Linked DNA regions of Medicago truncatula. The protein of the gene in region 2 interacts with the protein of the main gene of each other region in a pairwise test. Links are inferred from orthologs where the notes say so. Each region holds a gene or a part of one and is shown on either strand. Other genes may lie near its edges. The genes, in order: protein BTR1 and RNA-binding protein with multiple splicing 2.

Region 1 (10,953 bases), on a different chromosome or scaffold from region 2:
TAATAGTTTATGTAAAATATTGAGTATTGAATGAAACGCAATTGTAAGCATACATAAACTAGCATCTTAATTTGTCGAGAAACTCAAAATATTCAGAATCAAATGTTGAAGCAGTTCTGAGTTGTCGGTAACAGTTTGAATCAATTGAAATTAAAATAAAAGCATAAACAATAAAAAACCTAAAAAATATTGCAAGGTGTTTAGAGCAAAATAAAATTTCATTATAGAGTTGATTCTATGTGACATCAAAACGATTGGGTTCCCTAAATTATATTAATTGGAGAAATGTATAAATTCAAGAGCTTGTAAATTTAGTGACTGCTTTGGTTCCCTCGGAGACAGCGTGCTTGGCAAGTTCGCCGGGAAGAACGAGACGAACAGCAGTCTGAATCTCACGAGAGGTGATGGTAGGTTTCTTGTTGTAGCGAGCGAGTCTGGATGATTCCTGAGCGAGCTTCTCAAAGATGTCATTGATGAAACTGTTCATGATCCCCATAGCCTTGCTGGAGATTCCAATGTCAGGATGAACCTGCTTGAGAACCTTGAAGATGTAGATCTTGTAGGTTTCTACGCTCTTCTTGTTTCTCTTTTTCTTCTTGTCGGCAGAGGAAGCTTCCTTTGGGATCTTCTTCTCCGCTTTGGTTTTCTCTGCGGGAGCTTTTTCTGCTGGCTTCTTCTCAGCGGGCTTCTTCTCTCCCTTTGGTGCCATTGATGATCGAAAGCTGAAAAGCTGAAATTGAAAACGAGAGAGTTTTACAGAGAGCGAGAGAGATTATAGTGTTTTAAATTGTGATTTTGCATTTGGGTGTGGAATGGTTTATATAGAAATGGTTAATGGTCTCTGATTGGTTGGTTTTAGAATTAGCGGATAGGTGACGTGGATGCTACATTTAGGGTGCATTTCCCATTTTGCCCCTCACCATTTTTTAAATTATTTTATAATTTTTATATTTTTAATAACTTTTGTAATTTTTATATTTTTAATAACTATTTTTCAATTTTTATTTTTTTTAACTATTTTTTAATTTTTTCATCTAAATTCAGTTGCTTCTACATTGTCGTTGTGGGAGATTAAGATATTGTTTGACCCGGTTTTTTTTCCAACTTCTCTACATTTTTAAGGAGAAGTTAGGTCAAACACACTATCAATTATTTTAATTTCAATATTGTTTAATCATCACAACCTCCCAAATATTTTTATTCAGACTGTCATTTAGTGATACCAAATACTTTTATTTCCTTTATTCAACCTCGCAAATATTTACACACATACATTAACGTTTAGAGTAATATTTTATGTCCGTTTGTCTGTGTTTTTTTACGCTCATGCATATAATTTTTTTTAGTGTTGCTTGGTTGAGTGCTACCTCACCGATTTTTTTAACTATTTTCCAATTTTTATATTTTTAAAAACTTTTAACTATTTTCCAATTTTTTCTTCCAAATTCAGTTGCTTCTACACTGCCGTTGTGGGAGATTAAGATACCGTTTGACCCGGTTTTTTTTTTTACTTCTCTACATTTTTAAGGAGCAGTTAGGTCAAACACAATATCAATTAAGTACTTATTAGAAAGGGAACTTTTTTTAATTCATAAAATTGAATGGAATGAGCTTTGGCCAAAAGTTCTTGAATGCTACTTTAAAAAACTACTTCTAGACAATATATTTCATAAGCACCTCTTTTCAACTCATGCTAAGAACCTTTTCTTTTATTTTTTAATATTATATTTCAATATGTTTTCTTTTCATTTAACTTTATTTTATTTTATTTTTTGAACTGTTAGATTTAATTTTATTATCTTTTTTTTCAAAAGAATTTTATTATCTTTTTATCACTTATATATTTAATTTCAATATTGCTTAATCATCACAACCTCACAAACATTTTTATTCACGCTGTCATTTAATTATATCAAATATTTTTATTTCCTTTCTTCAACCTCGCGAATACACACACACATTAACGTTTAAAGTAATATTTTATGTTCGTCTGTCTGTTTTTTGTTACGTTAATGCATATAATTTTTTTTTGCTTGGTTGAGTGCTACCTCACCGATTTTTTTTAACTATTTTCTAATTTTCATATTTTTAAAACTTTTGACTATTTTTCAATTTTTTTATTTTTAACTATTTTCTAATTTTTTTCTCCCAAATTCAGTTGCTTCTACACTGCCGTTGTGAGAGATTAAGATACCGTTTGACCCAGTTTTTTTCAACTTCTCTACATTTTTAAGGAGAAGTTAGGCCAAGTATAATATCAATTAAGTACTTACTAAAAAATGGACTTTTTTTAATGTATAAAATTGAATAGAATGAGCTTTGGCCAAAAGTTGTTGAATGCTACTTCAAAAAACTACTTATCGACAACTTATTTCACAAGCATCTCTCTTCAATTCACGTTGGGAACCTTTTCTTTTATTTTTTAATATTATATTTCAATATATTTGTTATTCAATGAAGCCATTTCTACTTGCATTTAAATCATGCATCAAGTAAAAAAGTGATTTCAATGCATAGTGAAAAATTCATTTCAATGCATAACTAGATGTGGAAGTTGATGCTATTATGCTCTGAGGGAAAGAAAAAAAGAGAGATTGTTTGTTTCTTCCTAGCACGACAAAAATTGAGTGAGGGTCCTAAGAATGAGCTAAAACCTGAAGTGGATTTATGTGTGCCAAACAATCCTTCCTAATTAGCACCATCATAACAAAAAATTTGGACTTTTGAACTTCTTGGAAATAAGAGACCACAACCAAGGTTTTATTTGGGATATCTAACCACTCTACAAGTTGTATCGAAGTCAGTAATGACGGGAGCATGTAAAATTGGACAAGTTTTTGTGTGATAAATGTAATATATGGTCTACATACACCGAAAGTGTTGTAAAATCGTCATCATGCTTCAAGGTGAAGAGACAATGGTCTGAACTTGATCTTCATCATGTTTCTCAATTCTCATACCACTTTCAACTTACTTGTTTGAGGCCATACAAGCTCTCTCACAATTTCCACACCTTGTCGCTGTTTAGCATAAGATACACCTTCAAGAATGGTCATGTAGACATATAATTGAAGAAAATGTGAAACTACTGATTGTTGTCGATGCAAATAGATACAACATAAAGGGCGTTAGTTATAGATTTTTTAAGAAAAAAATAACTTAAAAAAAAAAATCACTTTTAAGAGTGTTGCATCCATTTGTTACAGCTTCTCAAAAAATATATTTTTTTAAGAAGAGATAGAAAATATGTTTTAAAAGATTGAACTAATTTTGTAACGAAAAATCTCTCTTATGTAGTTGTATCCAATGTATTTACAATTAATTTTGTTTAATAATACAGTTGAGATACACCATATTCTATGTTTAATAATTCATTTGAGATACAGGTTTAATAAAAACACAAGGATCAAAATTGCATTAATAATCAAATATAAGTACAACTTAGTTGATAGCTACGGAGATATCGATAAATGGAGGCTTTAATTCAAACATTCGATTTCTCATTTCTTCTATTTTAAGTTGTGTTAGTCCGATCACTAAAAATCGCGTCAATACTATAATAGGAATGAAAAAAATGAAATGAAATTTATAGTGTATATATATATATATATATATATATATATATATATATATATATATATATATATATTATTTTTTCATAAAGGAAATAGATATACCATTGTTTATATTTTCAACTTTGTTTATATTTTTTTAGTATATATGTCAAAAAAAACCTCAAAACAATTGTACCAAACACTCCACTCAAGAGTTAGGAAAACTGCTATTGATGGGCAAAGTTCCTCCTTCAATGTCAATCGTTTGAAGAAAAGGGAATCATAATCGAGAATATCAACCAAATCTCAACTAAATCCTTGCTCAATCAACACCAACAAAGAGAAAAAGGGAAAGTTTATATTTTGGGTTCTTTTGATCCCGACATATGACATTGACTCATACGACAAAGTAGCTTTCCAACGTCAAAGGCGGAAGATCGAATCTATATCTTGAGAGACTGAGTTAAAAAGTGAAAAAAATACCACTACTTTTTAAGAAGAATCTGTCTATTGATTTATAGCAAAATTACATTTAAAAATGACTTTTTTTGACAAAACATCTAAAAATAAATTGAATTTGGTACATGATTTTAATGCGTTCAATGACTTTTTATGGTTTGAAAAGATTTTTTGAGGATACTTATACTCATAGTAAAAATCAAAATTTTATTATTGTCATCTTGTGAGTGCAGTTTAGTTGGTGGTTGCATGAATTTTGTTGTAATATTTTCGTTTCCACACTTAAAGCGCGTAATTAGTCATTAAACTATATGACAAAAAAAATATGATTATTATATTATTATTTTTTTTCAAAGATTATTATATCATTAATATTGAAAGCTATTATTTTTTTTAGTATTTTAAAATTGTACCTAAAATAAATGGAAAAGTGGAAAAATATTGAACGCTATTATTAAAAAGCTTTATTTTGACATTTTATAAAAAAGTTTTGTTTTGATGTAATATTATAACCCTGTCAAACTCATCTAATGGATGAAGATTGAATGATACAAATTTTATATTTAAATTTAAAATTTTCTTAAATATAAGTTTCAAACTTATAATCTAAATCATCTAATCTTAATTAAACGATTCAGATGCCACCTTGACAATAGGGGCCACCAACCAGCACACAAACCCGGTCTATTTATCATTGCATTATTACCCGAAATAACGAATGAAATCATAATTTCTAGAATTTGACTTTTCTTCTGTAAAATAAAAAATAGTTTCAATAATTCAATTTACGGTACTACATAAACATCACAGCAGTAGAATTGAATTGACGGTGATGATAATATCTGTTTCTTCCGTAGTAAGGCAATAAGGTAAAATTGCGATTCATTTCAGTGGGTCGGGACGTGAGAAAGAGAAACACACACGCACACACACATTGACACCTCACACACAACGCAGCAGCATATTATCGATTATCGATAGATAAACAAAACAAAACGTGACGTTGCGGTGGGTATTACAGAAACAAAACAAAACAAAAACCGCAGCACCAACTTCTTCTTCTCTTCTCTTCTTCTCATTCCGCCGTATTCACTTTTTCTCTCACTCTTTAACACTTTTCGCCATTACTACTATGTAACTTTCTCTCTCTGAATTAACTGTCAATTTTCCTTCTCTCTATCTCTCTCTCTCTCTCAAACAAAGGAGTGAGAATTAGGTTTCTTATTGTTGCTGTTGCTGTTGCTGAAGTCGTTGTCCAAGAACAACAATGGAGTCTCCTGAATCTTCTTACGTGTCATCTCCAGAAGGACCGAGGAAGCACGCTTCTTCACCTCCTCCTGATTCACCTTCACAAGGTATATCTATCTCTTCCGATCTGATCTGTTTTCTCTCTCTGTAATGTACATAGGTCAACGTTTTCATTCTCAACCCTAATTCTTCACAATGCTCCCTCGCTCGCTACTTCTTGTATATTTTAGATTTTAATATATATTTTTATTTTTATTATATGAGTAGAAACGTTATCCTGTTATATATTTTGAATTTTGTTTATTACTTTAATTTTACTGTATATATATATATTTTTTAAAGTTTTGGTAATTAACATTATGATTTTGTAGTGAATTAATTGTTCTGAATCTGTACGTTTCTTCACTTCTTAACTTAATTGGACTATACTAGTCGTGAGCCAAATTAATTGATGAGAAGGAAAATATACTCTGTTTTTTTGTTTTTGTTTTTGTTTTTATCCTGTTTCTTACGGCGTGTTTGTTTATTCTGTTGAGTTTGGCCATAAGCATTAATTTGTGTTCAAAATTTTCAACGTGTAACCAAACAGGGACTGCAGTTAAATGGAAATTTTCAGAGAAGTTTTATGTTGTGAAAGATTGGAGTTAATTTGGATTTGACTAAATCTAAGCTATGTTTTACTATATACTGTTACCAAATTAGAATTGAAATTAATAACGTAATTAAAATTTCACTGCGACGTTTATATTTGATGGAAAAGGTTTTAAGGTTTAATCCGATATGGTATTTATTTAGCGCAAGTTTGGTACCACAGTGAGTTGACGGGAATCACGGCGAGCCACCTACACACACTTAGAGTTGGGTGTGAAAAGTTCAGAGTTATTTGTCTTGCGATTTTATTTTTTGTCTTGGATATTGAAGGGAAGAATAATCTGTTTTCGTAATATGCGCTAAAATTGTTATTAAATATAAAATATGGAAAAGAGAATCATGCTATAGAATTCTTGTTTGAAATTATCAAATTTGGACGTTTATTAAGCTTTTGTGTTAGTGAGAGGCAGAACAACCTTCACACTTCACACATTTGTGCGATTAATTTAGGACTTTGTCATTTTCTTGCTTGCTAGGACAGTTATTTGATGTATGAACTCTGCATTTGTTTTGTTTTGTTTTGTTTTGTTTTGTTTTATGGGTACAAAAGCACGTTGTTCCTGGAAAATGCAGTGATATAATTTTAAGAATGTTTTTTTAGGCAATTTTCAGAATGCTTTTGTAAAACTATGAAATTTAAATTGATTTATTTTACCAACTACACCGATTATCCATGTTGTTAAATAATTGGTACGGCGCCGCTATACCGCTATTATGTATCGGGATTTCAAGCAACAGCGACGAAATCCCATACGCTATTGTGATCTCGCTGCCGCTGCAATAGCCGTGGCTTTTTGCATATTGGAGATAGCGGTTATTGTTTCATAGGGGAAGTTATTGTTTTTAATATTTTTTTTCTCCAATGGACATTAAAACTATCATGTGAGCTGCACATATTTTTAAAAACATTAAAAATTAAATAATGCTGAATCGGTGATGAGATGGGGGTCGTATGTAACCCCAAGACCTAGGTAAAGTGAAAACCTCTCGATCACTAAAACTCTTTTGCCTCTCCACTTTCTTTCTTCACTTCATACTTCATCATGCTTTAATAGTTGTTTGAACTACTGAAATTTTAAGTTTTATGTCGGTCACTTTTTAAATTTCTGTTTATTTGTGCACATCATGCTTTATTTTATGTATAATTCTTTATTTCAACTGCTTTGTGGCTTTCTCTATTTGCCTGCGTCACTATCCGCTATTTCCCATAGCGGATTTTTGGTGATCCGATATTTTCCACGATCCGCTATTAATAACACTACTGATAATTTTTTTATATATTTGATTCTTTGTGATCATTTTTACATAATGTTCACTTTCAGATTCTGTAGAAAAGCCAACGTATGTTAGGTTTCTGGTATCAAATTCTGCTGCTGGTTCTGTTATTGGTAAGGGTGGTTCAACAATCACTGATTTTCAGTCACAATCTGGAGCACGAATCCAGTTGTCACGCAATAATGAATTCTTCCCTGGAACCACTGATCGGATTATCATGGTATCTGGTGCAATCAATGAAGTACTAAGAGCTGTAGAGCTCATTCTTTCAAAGTTGCTCAGTGAGGTAATAACTATGATATTGATTCAATTAGTTACTAGAATAAAATATGTCTTGCATTGCAGGTTTCTGAGCTTAATTTGCTTTATATGATTAGCTTCACAGCGAGGATGACAATGATGTTGAGCCAAAAACAAAAGTGAGACTCATTGTTCCTAATGGTTCTTGTGGTGGAATAATTGGGAAGGGAGGTGCTACCATTAGGTACAATTCATTTTCTTTGTCAAGTTGTAGGGCTTACCTGTTTACCATATTTATGAAATTAGTACTGATCAAATTAGTTTTTGATACTTATGCCTTTTGATTTGTGTTTTGGGAATATGTTTTGATTTCAAGAGGTTGTCCCTTATATGAATGCTGGTTCTTTGGTGTCAGAGCTTTTATATCCCTATGGCCTATGCTTCCCCTGCTAAAAATAAGCATGTTATTGTCAGGCCGGCTGTTATTTTTCATCGCATGATCCTTTATTTTTTAATTTTTTTTAATGTTATTCAGAGATGGGGGTAAAAAGCTTACCTTATGAATTCTTTGCCTTTGATCAGGTCATTCATTGAAGAATCTCAAGCTGGCATTAAAATATCTCCTCAAGATAATAGTTACTATGGACAAAATGATAGGATAGTAACAGTGACAGGAACTCTGGATGAGCAGATGCGTGGAATTGATTTAATTGTTTCTAAATTAGCTGAAGATCCTCATTATTCACATTCCATGAGTTCTCCGTTTACATATTCTGGTCAGTGTCGTTTATTTGTTCCACGGAATATCTCTTATCCATTTTTGTATTTCGCTAATACTTATATACTTTGGAGCACCTAATATGGACGAAGGCAGTAGTTTCTAATCTTCATAATGACTCTTCATTATCCTCCATTAGCCCTGTTTATGTATGGACCCCTGGGATTAGTCTTCTTTCACCTTCGTTGCAGGAAGGAAGTAGATGGAGGCATTACTTTAATTAGTATATCTTCCCAACATATTGTTAGTTTAGCTTGTTAAGTTCATACATTTATACTCTTTTGCTTTCTTTTTAATGAGCCGGGCCCATCTGTCTTTCTTCTGATTGTATTACTGACTTATACATCAGGGATAGTAATGGTAAGGAAATGTTCTTTTTACAAATTCAAATAGTATACTATGTCAAAATATTTAATATATCCTTGTGTATCTGTGTGAAGGTAAAATATGATTAAGATGGTTTCATAATCCATTTGAGTAACACCTGTGATTCATAGAATCCATTTCGTTTTCACCAGATAAGGAATACTTACAAGAGAAGTTGAAAATGAGTTAAAATATCTTAATGTCATTTGAATTTTAGGAATAATAGGTGCAAGGTTAATACACCCATGTAACCGACCCCACTTAGTGAGAAAAGACCGGCTCTTGTTCTGAAAGAGTAAGAGTGGTAAGGATCATACTCTTGGTGATAGTGTGATTTTGGTATTACGCCAAAAAGGTCGAGGCCCAATACTAATTATGGTAGTCTAATACAGCAATTTACTCATTTTTGGGAGCATTTATTTTTAAAATATGAGGGTATTGTCTATTTTTATGGTAGTAAAGTGATGGTTATGTAGATTTATCATGTTTTGTCTTGTATGGATAACTTCGTGTGTTTGATGCTAAGTACAACTTTTTAACATGCATTTTAGGTGCTTATGTCTCGGGTTATCAGGGTGTTCCATATACATATGTGCTTCCATCTGTTGCACCACCAGCATACAACGGAGTGAATTACAGACCTAATGGTACTGGAGCAAAGTTCCAGAACAGCAAGGTTTTCCTCATTCCATCAATTTAATCTTGTTAATGGTTTCTAATGTTTCAAGTTGCCAAGCTTTCAAACACACACACGCACTCAAATCGAATGTTGATTAAAGCTATCTATACCTTAGTCATTGCTACTTAATAAATATATCGTACTTGTAATTGCGATTGAGAGTATGTTGTTTTATGTCACTGCAGTTTATTTTTTATTCTAAAGGGGAATGTAGAGACAGGGAAATGATTCTAGAAAACAAAATGTGGCATTCAAAATGAATATGTTTTGTTGTGTTCACAGAACTTCATATGGTGTTTTTATATAATAGTGCAATATCTAATTAGCTAAAAGGGTGCCAGTTTGTGTTTTTGGCACATGCCTGTTCATAATTTCTGACATGAATGGATACTAACATGTTGGATGATTGGAAGGAAAGGTGATGCATAGATACAATGGTTTTTAAGGAATCAAACCTTTGAAATATTTGCATAATACATACAGTCTCATAAAGGTTTTTTTTATATAGTTTCTTCATTCACCTTGTAATGTTGCTTGCCCTAACACTAACAAATAATTTTTAAATTGGTGTAACTGTGGCGTAAGATTAAATCAGTTCTCTTGACATTTCACATGACAGGCTGATATATTTGACCTGTGCTGGTTCAAGATTTAGTTTTTCTTACTATATTTTAGGGATTTGTTACTACATTTGGCTCACTTTCCACCTATTTTGTTGTTTTACAATTTGTTTTCTTCAACTCAACATGCTATCGTGAGTTAACTTATATGTCTATTACTAATGGTGAATTTAGTGAATAAAATAAGCTACTCATCTTTGTTTAAAACCATGCGTCCTCGTGTAATGATGATTTCCTATGAGTTATATACTTATATATCTATTACCAATGTTGAATTTATGAATGAAAAACTATGTATCTTTTATTAAATTCATACATCCACGTGTAATGGTGATTTGCTCTATGAGTCTGAACTGACATACTTCTTTGTTGTCTTCCAGGAGGATCGAAGTAACTCAATGACCATTGGTGTTGCAGATGAGCATATAGGATTGGTTGTTGGCCGCGGTGGAAGGAATATATCGGATATTAGTCAGGTCAGGTTTACCAATGCCTAATGATTTTGCATGGTATAATGTGATTGCTTATATAATAAACTAACTTGACTAATTTTTGCCCTTTCAGACTAGTGGAGCAAAGATAAAGATATCAGACAGAGGCGATTACATTTCTGGAACAACTGATAGGTTAGTTTTGTTCACTTACATTTTTCCTTCACTCATCCCTCAAGTATAACGAAAGCCAGCAATCAAATTCCTTGTATACTTTATTTTACAGCAGATGTTTTACGGGTGTTTCTATTTCCTTGTTATGCAGGAAAGTTACCATAACAGGATCGCAGAGAGCAATTCGCACGGCTGAATCTATGATACTGCAGAAGGTTGCTTATGCTACCGAGAGAGTGGAGTAGTATTCTGCAAGTTCACCTGTCTACTGTTAGATTCTTGGTGAACCTGCTTGCTCTGCTCATACATTTGCTGAATTTTGGGATTTGTTTACATAAAATTATCTGTCACTTAATATACTTTTGAAGATCTTTATTGTAGTGGGAGAGGGCAGGTTTCTTTCTTTCTTGAACTTAGACCGTTCTTACAGGATTTCTTCTCAAACCCATTCAAAAGATAAGAACTATTGGAAAGGGCT
Region 2 (10,953 bases):
TGTTATCATCATCATGGCCATTTTTGAAGTGCAAGATTGTTTAAACAAGTGATAAGGAATCATAAATTTGGATTTTGGGTTTGAATTTTGCTGTTGGTATACAGTTGAAAGGTTTATATTTGGAATTTGAATGCAATTGCAGTGGTTTGATTTGGTGTGGAATACAGTTGCAGTTATATGGTTTGTACATTTTAGAAATTGATTAAAAAATATACCATTTGATTCAAAAATGTACCATATTCATATATAAATGAAGCAGTGCAGTACTTATCTAGAAGTGGTTTTTTCACGAGTAAATTATAAATCTAATCCTAACCGACCAACAATAATAACTTTCATAACAACTGTTCTGCATGATGTCAGCTCCTTCCAAGTCCATGTACATTTGAAAATTTTAGTTTGAGGAGCATTAATGCTATGCATACCAAATCTATCTACATTTGAATATTTTAGTTAGAGGAGCAGTAATGCTATGCAACTTAAACCATTAAAGAAGATGCACAATTTAACCATCTTTCTACAAAAGGAAAGCCAACAATGAGTTAGAACAAACAGCATATTCGAAACAACTTATAATAAGCTGTTTTGCATAAATAAGCTGTTTTGCATAAATAAGTTGTTTTTCATGAATAAGCTATTTTTGAAAATGAGATCATAATAAGCTGTTTTGCATAATTAAGCTGTTTTGAAGAAGCAGTTTTTGAAAATGAGATCATAATAAGCTATTTTGCATAAATAAGCTGTTTTGAATAAGTTGTTTCTGAAAATGAGATCGAAATAAGTTGTTTTGCATAAATAAGCTGTTTTGCATGAATAAGCTGTTTTTGAAAATGAGATCATAATAAGCAATTTTTAATAAATAAGCTGTTTTGAATAAGCTGTTTCTGAAAATGAGATCGAAATAATCTGTTTTGCATAAATAAGCTGTTTTGAATAAGTTGTTTTTGAAAATGAGATCAGAATAAGTTGTTTTGCTTAAATAAGCTGTTTTTGAAAATGAGATCATAATAATTTATTTTGTATAAATAAGCTGTTTTTCAAAAGAGATCCTAATAAGTTGTTTTGCATAAATAAACTGTTTTTTTTTAAAAGAGATCGTAATAAGTTTTTTTGATAATACACCTATCAAAAAATAATACACTTTAAAAAAAATAATTCACCTATAAAAAAAAATAATACACTTTAAAAAAAATTATACACTTTGATTTATGGATCGGATGGATTATCCATCCATTAAAATCTAATAATGGATGGATTGGATGGACTTTATTCTAATTGGATGGACTGGATGGTTTTTTTTAAGAAAAAAAAATAGTGGATTGTAATAAACTAATGGACCTTTTTTGATCCATCCATTAGGATCCAAATCCATATCCATCCAATCAATCCATTTGCCACCCCTATTTAAAATCATGATGATCAAATGACTCTACTATCAGAATGACATTTGCCTATCCAAAAAAATTGATGGCAGGATGAGGATCCCAGAATGACTCTATTATCCTCTAGTTGTATTAAAATTAGCCTACCAATATCTTCTACACAAATAAAACTTGACAGTATAAACATCCAATTCTTGCACAAAACTAACATTTTTCGGTTTATAAGAAATTCGTAGTCATAGGGCACCTATAATTCAATGGCTGCTTCACTTGATATCCAACAGACGTTCCAACCAAATTTGATGGTAGTTTGCCTTACCCGTGCAAACAAAAATTACCTGCAACAATATGGCAGTAGCAGAAATGGACCTTCCATTATGAAAGGAAGCTTTGTCATGTTGCAACCCTGTATAAATTAGACAACATATAACTCCGGAGAATCCTTTAAATAGTTTTAACTTCAACGCATTTAACATTAATGTTGTGATCAAATGGAGTCATGAATGCCAGGGTGGATGTAGTTTAAAAAGCTTGGGAGTGTACTTTAGAAGACAAATTACAAGTTATATTCGGTGATTCAAAAATCAAACAAATGAATTTTACGAACTTCATAGTTAATTACATAGTTATGCCAATTTCAACCATTAATTTTCTAATCACCGATTATAACACCATATTTTATCGCCTAAAGTACGCCCCCAGTTTACAGAAACTAAATTTGAAAAACAGAAGGCTAAAAATGTGGTGTAATGACAATAGTAATGAGTGGAAAGGGTAGATGGATCATTGATGTCATGTCAAGCCGTGCCATGAAAAGAAAGAAAGCATCACAATAATATGTCATGTCAAATAAACAACACATGAACCTAAAGTTGGAAGCAGATACCAATGCCTGTTTGGATAAGCATCCCTAAATACCAATGTATACAGAAAAGTCTAATGACCATAAAGCACATTTCAAACAAAATTTAGACACATGCACGGTTCCTACAAATGATAACGCCATCTAAACACCTATGAAACTAATCTGGGAACCAACACATGCTGCCGATAAATGCATGTCTGATTAGTATAACATAGCCAAGTGTATGTATATGATGCCACGGTGCATTCATTAACATGAGCAGTGATGATAATGGCGATGACTTGATAATCAATGGATGCATGAAACAGCTGCAAGATGCATCCTATAATGTAGTAATATTGGTTGAAGCATAAAGAACAGAGTACATCCCCTTCAAGCTACTGATAAGTCATTGCTACTGGAGCTCCATTGGCACCAGGAACAGCCATAGGGTAGGTTCCATCTTTTCTTTTTCCAAATGGATTTTTGGAATATCTGCTAAGAAGTCAAGAAAAGTACAAAAGAATTCCTTGCCTACAACAGAATTGAGAAATCACAACTAGGTTTATACCAAATTGAATGCAAAGTATGAGTGTATGTTGAATGCACATTGAGAGATAAGAAATGTAAGCAAGAATCATCATTCAACAAATATGAAGCTTTGGGCCTGAATTTACCGATACTTAGTTTTGGCATTGAAAAAACAAATGAAAGAAACTCATGGTTCCAGTATCAGTGAAGAAAAGTGCATGGTAAATTGGAATAAGTGCGAGCATTTAAGCAAAAACTTCTAATGTATTCTACTATTTCCCAGTCATAAACCCCGGATGCTGGGTTAATTAGAGAATGAACATGAATGAAAGAAAAAAATCAAGAAAACAAAGCTTAAGATGCTCAACAATAAAAAAGGATATTGTATCCGCATGCCAATTGAACCAGAACTTGGGATAACAGCACCCTGCAGATTGTGGTGCACATTTGTAGCACTATTCACATCCTGCAATAGGTTATTGAATACCAAGTATTAGCGTAAACATAAATCAGAAAAGATCCAGACAATAAAAGGCACAAATATGAACAAAGTTTACAGACTTCAAACTCAATGAAGCAAACTGTATGCCTCTCCTGCCTTATAATCTTCATTTGCTTAAAACCAGGTTGTCTGCATTACAAAGCCAAGTTCAACAGATTAATCCAATATATGACACGGCATAGAAAATGCTACATAAACTGAACAAAAGAGCCTGTGTCAAAGGATAAGTTTTACATACACACTGAAAAGGCCCCTCACTTCTTCCTCATTAATGTTCTCTCCTAAGTTCCCAATAAACAGGGTGTTGCAAGGAGGGTTATCTTTAGTGTTCTGTACAGAAAATTTAAAGTAAACACATTGCATTCACTATCTATCATTGATAAACAATATTAACGGTAGTATAAAAAGCATTTATTAAATAAATGAGCAACATCACTGCATGATAATAACGAAGGTAAAACCAACTGTGAATATACTTCGAACAAACAATACTTCTGTTTGACCTTTTAAACATCATATTTTTTCCAGTAGGATGTACATAACACATTTAAACATTCATTCAGCAATTTAGAGGTATTAGTTGCTGTAATCTTGCCTTCTTTGGTAGTTAAAATAGAGATGTAAAATCTCTAAAATATGATTCTAAATCCGAGCAGAATATGGCAATTAAGTCAACAATACATCCAACAAAACAAAGACAAATGCTTCCCCTCCCATATTCACTTTGAGATACAATTTTAGAACTCTGCTGTGCCCGTGCCCGTGCCCGTGCCCGTTCAGGACTTCAAGGACAGTTCATGAGCACATTAGTGAGTAGATAAGTTACTTGATCAATTTCTAACAGTTAAATGGTAATAATTATACCAACAAAAGAAAATATCAAGCCCTTTTCAACTAAAATAAAAAATATACAAGCAAACATTACAGAACTTATAACTAACAGAATATTCAAAAACTCCACCTTCTCTTTTATAAATGACGAGCTCAAAATTGCACACGAAGGTATAATGATATAACAATTGACAAAAAGATGAGTGAAACCAAAGTAGCATTAACAGTTTAAAGTCATTCTCACCTGAATTGGAACATAACTGCTAGGTGCGATAGACACAGGAGCAGGCATTGGTACTTGTGCAACAGGATAGCCTGCATATGGATCATACGGAGGAGGAGGTGGTGGAGCCATATATCTAGACCATAAAAACAAACAAACTTTCAGTTAATAATATGGAGAAACAAACAATTTTTTTTTATCAATGTTGTCAATTGCTGATCGCGGAAAATATTGGTTTTTCTAATTCCACTGCACAATAGTGGTATAATCCCCTATAGCAACTATTTCACAACATTTTGTACTAAATAGCAAATCACGAAACAATAGCGACTTGTTCAAATTCTGCTATGCTATAGCCACTATTTGACGACATTGTTTTTACATATCATATCACACACACACACACACACGCATATAGATGAGGTTTGTGTTAGTTTACCCATGTGGTCCCCAAACAGGTGGTGGAGGAGGATGAAAAGGAGACGGAGTTACGTAACCAGTATGATTATAATCCCCAGCTGTTCGTAACCGTTTACTTTGATCAAAAGCAACTGCATCAGCTCCTATTCCTACAAAAATATCAAAATAAGTAACACTTATATAATTTACAATGAAATATGTGAGTGCATGTTTGAATTAACAGTGCATGTTTGGCAGAATTACAGCATGTGAAGGTGAATTGAACAAAACCTCCACCTTGGAGTTTCAACAGATCACCAATACCATAATTTAGTCTAATAACATGTGTTGGTACAATGACACATGGCAGACACTAGACAATTGAATCAGAAGTGAAGGTGGCATAGAAATAGAATTGAATGACCTCGTTTAACAAATAGATTTTTCTTGGCCATCTCAGTATGAAGAACAGATTTAGCCTCGGGATCAAAAAGCATATCCTGAAGAATATCTTTAGCAGCAATAGCTTGATGAGGAGAATTGAAAAGAGCAAAACCCATAGGCTTTTCAGCTTTGAAATTCAACTGAGAAGCTTCAAAACCAGGTAACCATCGACAAAGGTTTTGAAGTTCTCTCTCTTTAACATCTTCTGGAAGACCCGTTATAAATATGGTTCGAACCTGAAAAAGCATAATTGAATTGAATTGAATAATAGATTGGATTTGAAATTTGAAATAAATAGAATAGAAGAGTGAAGTACCTCTTCGGAGGAAGGGGAAGGAATAGCGGTGGGTTGAGGAGGAGGAGGAGCGGCGGCGGGAGGCCATTGTTGGTGGTAAGGGTGGATGCCGTTGGCTGCCATCAGTATCAATCAAAATTCACAAATCAAAGAAACCCTAACCCTAACTACTCACCAGTTAGTAAATCCGGTGTCGTTCGTTTACTCTAAACACTTCTCAACTTCAACTTCAAGATGCACACTCTCTTCTTTCTCTTCTTTCTTGTGATCCAGCTTTTTTTTTTTTTTTTTTTTTTTGTGGTGGCAACATTTAATGACTATAATAATTTATCCTATTATTTGCTTCAAAAACTATTATCTTTTTTTTTTTATATAAAATAAAAATTTAGACTGTGAGAAATAATTTATCTTTACTTTTTTTTTTTAAGGAATTTTTATCTTATCCTATATACTTTTTTTTTTAAGAACTTGAATACCACTTTTACTTGAAAATTGTGTAAACTTGATTAAAAGAGTTTAATCAATACACACCTAATGATATGTTATTATATCAATTAATAAATATGAAAATAATTATATATTGTATGATAACAGAATATACTTATTATTATCATAATTGTTTGTTTCAAAAAAAAATAAATTAATAATTGGTCTTTTCCTTTAAAAAAAATGATTGGTCTTAACCAAAAAAATATTTAATACACATATCACCGTATTAACAATTAACCAATATGTCCCTTTCAAAAAAATAATTAAATGCGAAACTTTAAAGTATGCATGAGTTTTAGTGATGTTTACCATTTTGTTTACGAGCCCAAAATAAATAAAAATTAAAAAAGCAATTTGTTGGAACAAAATGTGTTTAACATTAACTCTTGAGAGTTTTGATGATAACAATGTATTAAAAATTGTCAATTGGATATGCTAATAGTTGTTCAAGTGTACAAGGCTATAGACAAAATTTGACATTTAAAAAGGTCTTGGAAGAACAATAAAGAGCAAAGGAATCAACAAAAAAAAAAAAAAAACTTAAAGCGTCTGAAGAAAACTGCTCCTGAAGACAAAGCGCTCCTGAAGACAAAGTGTTCATGAAGTAGTGACGTCATCAGAAGCAAGTTCATCAGAAGCTGAAAATCACCAGAAGCTGCAGTTCATCAGGAGATTCAACTTAAAGCTTCAAAAGTTGTTCAATGGATTCAATCTCGTCTAAGCATTGCAGAAGACTCGAAAAGTGAAGCAACGGCTAATTTGAAAGGATTTGAAGGCATTGAATGTTTGTTCTTCAAAGAGCGTTGACAAAGTACGATTGTACGAAGTGTACAACCACTGCCTCCACTACTCTGTTCTTTGTCTTTGCTACAAAACAAGAAAAACAGTTCTGCCTGCAACGATGTTCCTTCACAATGGGAATGCATTTGAAATTGATCCTTCATAGAACAGTAACCATATCAGGCAAAAGATCATTGGTGATTGATCAAAGCTTCAAACGACTCTATTTTGATGTGCTGGCAATTCACAATGTCTCTTTCACACCTCTATATAAAGAAATGAAGACTTAGAGTTTTAAAGAGAACAATACCAAATATTACAAGTGTCAAAACTCTGCTGAAATTGTTCTGTAAAGATGGAAAAGTTACTATTACTTTATGTTTATCTCTCTTTATATTGTTCTATCTCATTTTATATGTTATTTCTCTTTAATTTTTCTCTCATAAAATATGCTTAAAGTCATCATGATTTTTCCAGCCACGAAGTCACTAATATCCAAATCTCATTAGTGCACGCCAAGAACTACGTAATGCATTTAGAACAAAGTAAACTTTAAGGTTTGATTAGCCAAAGAACAACTGAAAAAGTATCGGATTCTGTTTGTTTTACATTTTTACATGTTCCAAACTAGCATTGAATTTTTCCGTGACAGATAATAAATTGGAACACTGAATTTATCTGTTTATGATGAGCAATTCATTTACACGTAAATTTATCAACATAATAGATAACACAAGCTTAACTAAAAAAACAGAAAGTCACAACAAAAGTTTGACAAATTCATTAACCATAATAGATTATAGGTAAATAAACCATCAAAGGATGAATACAAATGGATTGCTTCTAGCTTGTGAAATTATAAGAGCTAGTTCCACTTGGTTGGTACATCACATTATGATTCTTACCTACCTTTTCCCTTTCAAATAATTGCATTAGTTTTGCAACTTTGAACAAAAGTCACAAACAAAAACATCAATTACAAAAGACAAACATCAAATAGTTTGTACATATTTAAAGCTAGAAAAACCATGATACAAAACTTAGTACAGGTCACACACTACTAGCTGCTTTTGTTTTCAGCTAGTTTTATTTATACTCTATCATCCATTACTTCATAACAAATTTCTCAAGCTTTCTACTAAAATCAGAGACTCATTAACTTCATTTCTCCAATCAATACCTATATATATATATAGTATTACTTTCTAACAATCACAAGATGAAATTCATATATTTATGAATCATCTATTTAAAGCTTGAGAAACACAAACTCCTCAATAGCAGGCACAGCTCCAATATTCTCAAGAGCTTCCTTATTTGGCTCTTCATCGACGCCAATAGCCATAAGCGCTTTCTTCCTACGCGATGTTCTTCCAACACTCATAAAGCTCACATTCACATTTTTCTCGCCTAATATGTTTCCGACAGTACCAATCATCCCAGGTTGATCAATCTGTCTGCACAAAATCAGATTCCCTTCTAAGCTCACATCCACAGCAAAAGATCCCACACATGTAAGGTGTGGTGTACCGTACTTCACTTTTCCATCAATGCTTATCTGACCAGTCTCTGATACAGCACTCGCGAATTTGGACTCCACATTGGATATCTGTATCTGGATTGACTCAACAGGTAGTTCAGGAGACGAATCGACCACTACTCTTTCCTCGCTTATGCGAAGGCCTTTTTGCTTCGCAATGTAATCAGCATTTACAAGGTTGACAATTGTGTTTGATATTGGTTCAATGATGCCTTTTGTGATCATGGCTCGAAGAAGTCTAGTGTCAAGGTCATCGGGACCCCTGGCTGATCGGTAAACCACTTTTACAGACTGGATTCCACTTCCTCCGGATACCAACTGCACAGCTAACCTTCCTAGCTTCTCAGCTAGCACAACATATGGAGCCAGTTCTGATAATACCTGATGAAATTGCCAACAGTTATGACAGAAATAAAATAGAAGAAAAAGAAGAACAATGCACATCAATCATAGATGTCACAAATTTGACCAATGTCTAAACTACTTGTAATTCAATTCTGATTTTCGTGGAGGCTGGCTATGGTCTTTATTCGAGAAAAGCATAATAATGTCACAATGAGGTTGTTTTGTTTACCTCAGGAGCAACCATAGGAGCATTGACAGCAGTTGCTGAAAGTTCACCATTCAATGCACCAACAACAGCCTCTGCTATTTCAATAGCCACACCCTCCTATTGAGTCAAAATTGGTAAGAAAAACAACTTGGTAAGGAAATAATGTGAGCTAAAACAAATGGAAGTAGGATATTAAAGAAAAACAAACCTGTGCTTCTTTGGTGCTGGCTCCAAGATGAGGAGTAGCAATCACATTCTCATGTTGCACTAACTTACTGTCTTTGGCTGGAGGCTCCTCAGTGAACACATCAAGAGCTGCCTGCTCCAAGTTCAAACAAAATAGAAATGTCATTTGAATGGTTAACAGATAACTAATTAATTTCAAATTTGAACATTGTTTGTTAATCACGACTTCATGTGCTTCAACTACATGTAGATTTGAAGTAAAAAAAAGGGTTGACCTGAGCAACAATTCCACTATCAAGAGCTTTGACTAAAGCATCTTCATCAATAACACCACCTCTAGCAACATTGATGATTCTCACACCATTCTTCATCTTAGCAAAAGTGTTGTCATTGAAGACTTTGTTAGTAGTTGGAGTGAGAGGCATGTGAAGTGAGATGAAATCAGCGGTTGTGATTGCTTGATCAAATGAAACTAATTCCACACCAACAGCACGTGCTCTATCAGCTGGAGCATAAGGGTCATGAGCAATCACATTCATTCCTAATCCTTTTGCACGCCTTGCAACTTCAGATCCAACTTTTCCAAACCCCATTATTGCTAATGTTTTCCCAACCATAGATACTCCAACATACTTGCTTCTCAGCCATTTTCCTGCAAAAATTATCAACAAATACTCATACTATACTAGGGTAAATTCTTCACCTAAAAATTATACTTTTTTGTGTACATAACATAACTACTTCATAAATAATATCTCATGTATATTTCAACCGATGGATCTAGCAAGAATCATCCATCTTTCTGCTTTTACAATGCAAGAGATCACCTCACAATCTCAACCTTAAAACCTTTGGATATGTCATATGTCTCAAGCAATTAATCTTCCAACATCGAATATATGTCAATGTATAAAAGATGTTATACGTATAAAACTATTTACTAACATAGATCTATAAATTAGTATACAAGATAAATCATGTAAATGTACCATACCAGCTTTAAGGGAAGCATCAGCTTGAGAAACGTTACGAGCCATAGCAGCAAGAAGAGCAATCCCATGTTCAGCAGCAGCAATAGTATTAGCAGTAGGAGCATTCACAACAAGACAACCAAATTCAGTAGCAGCTTGTAGATCCACATTATCAATCCCAACACCAGCTCTACCAACAACTTTCAACTTTCCTTTCCCTGCTTCAAACACTTTCCTTGTAACTTTCGTACCGCTTCTCACAATCAAAGCATCACAGCTTGAGATCTTCTTGCATAGGTCTTCTGGTGAAAGATCATATGCACATTCCACATTTCCTAATTGTCTTAACACTTGTAGCCCTGCTTCTCCTAGTTTCTCGGAGACCAAGATCGTTGGTTTTTCATTTTCATCGTTAACAGAAACAACGTTGTTGGTTTGTTTTGTTTGGTCAACAGTTTTTAAAACACTGTTGACCATAAAACAACGTTGTTGAGAGTTAGCATGAGAGAGTTTAATGTTGTTGGGTATGATTCCAAAAGTGTTGGAGTTGAGGAATGAGAGGTTAGAGGATTTTGAAGATTTGGTTTCAGAAGATGTTGATGATGAAGAAGAGAAGATAGGTGAAGGAAGAATTGATTTGGTACAAGAAGAGGAAGACATAGTTGCTCTGTTTTTTGTTTTGTTGTTGAATGAATAAATTTGCTCTGTTTCAATATAAAAAGAAAAGGTTTAGAGGGAAGGGTGTTGTTTACATATAAATTTTGAATAGTGATTTGAGGCATTCATTGATTTAGCATTTCCTATATATAACAGAAACCAATAATAATTAAGGACTTGATGTGTGGCAAATGGGAGATTTTCTTCAACTTGAGGTTTTGGTGGTTGGTGGAGGATTTTACTCATGCTATTTGTGTTCAATCTAACTATAACATAACAATTAAATTAGTATTTGTTTTTGTGGAAATTTGAATAAGCATTGATTT

What was found.
Region 1: the proteins of RNA-binding protein with multiple splicing 2 (region 2) and protein BTR1 interact in a two-hybrid assay, tested with the Arabidopsis thaliana proteins (2 studies listed by BioGRID). The link is inferred for Medicago truncatula from reciprocal best matches to the Arabidopsis thaliana genes AT3G21215 and BTR1L.

Annotation. Positions count from the first base shown.
Region 1 is NC_053042.1:44,621,865-44,632,817, reverse strand, and holds the start of protein BTR1, read left to right. Parts: upstream 1-4,941; 5' UTR 4,942-5,098; exon of another isoform or gene 5,099-5,217; 5' UTR 5,218-5,280; coding exon 5,281-5,368; intron 5,369-7,234; coding exon 7,235-7,473; intron 7,474-7,564; coding exon 7,565-7,671; intron 7,672-8,009; coding exon 8,010-8,203; intron 8,204-9,122; coding exon 9,123-9,247; intron 9,248-10,250; coding exon 10,251-10,346; intron 10,347-10,434; coding exon 10,435-10,496; intron 10,497-10,626; coding exon 10,627-10,720; 3' UTR 10,721-10,953. Other genes in the region: probable histone H2B.3, read right to left, coding at 296-709.
Region 2 is NC_053045.1:434,504-445,456, reverse strand, and holds RNA-binding protein with multiple splicing 2, read right to left. Parts: upstream 5,753-10,953; 5' UTR 5,575-5,752; coding exon 5,473-5,574; intron 5,393-5,472; coding exon 5,137-5,392; intron 4,883-5,136; coding exon 4,753-4,882; intron 4,450-4,752; coding exon 4,335-4,449; intron 3,590-4,334; coding exon 3,498-3,589; intron 3,389-3,497; coding exon 3,319-3,388; intron 3,224-3,318; coding exon 3,141-3,223; intron 2,722-3,140; coding exon 2,625-2,721; 3' UTR 2,145-2,624; downstream 1-2,144. Other genes in the region: D-3-phosphoglycerate dehydrogenase 2, chloroplastic, read right to left, coding at 7,970-8,641, 8,835-8,930, 9,022-9,132, 9,275-9,651, 9,994-10,630.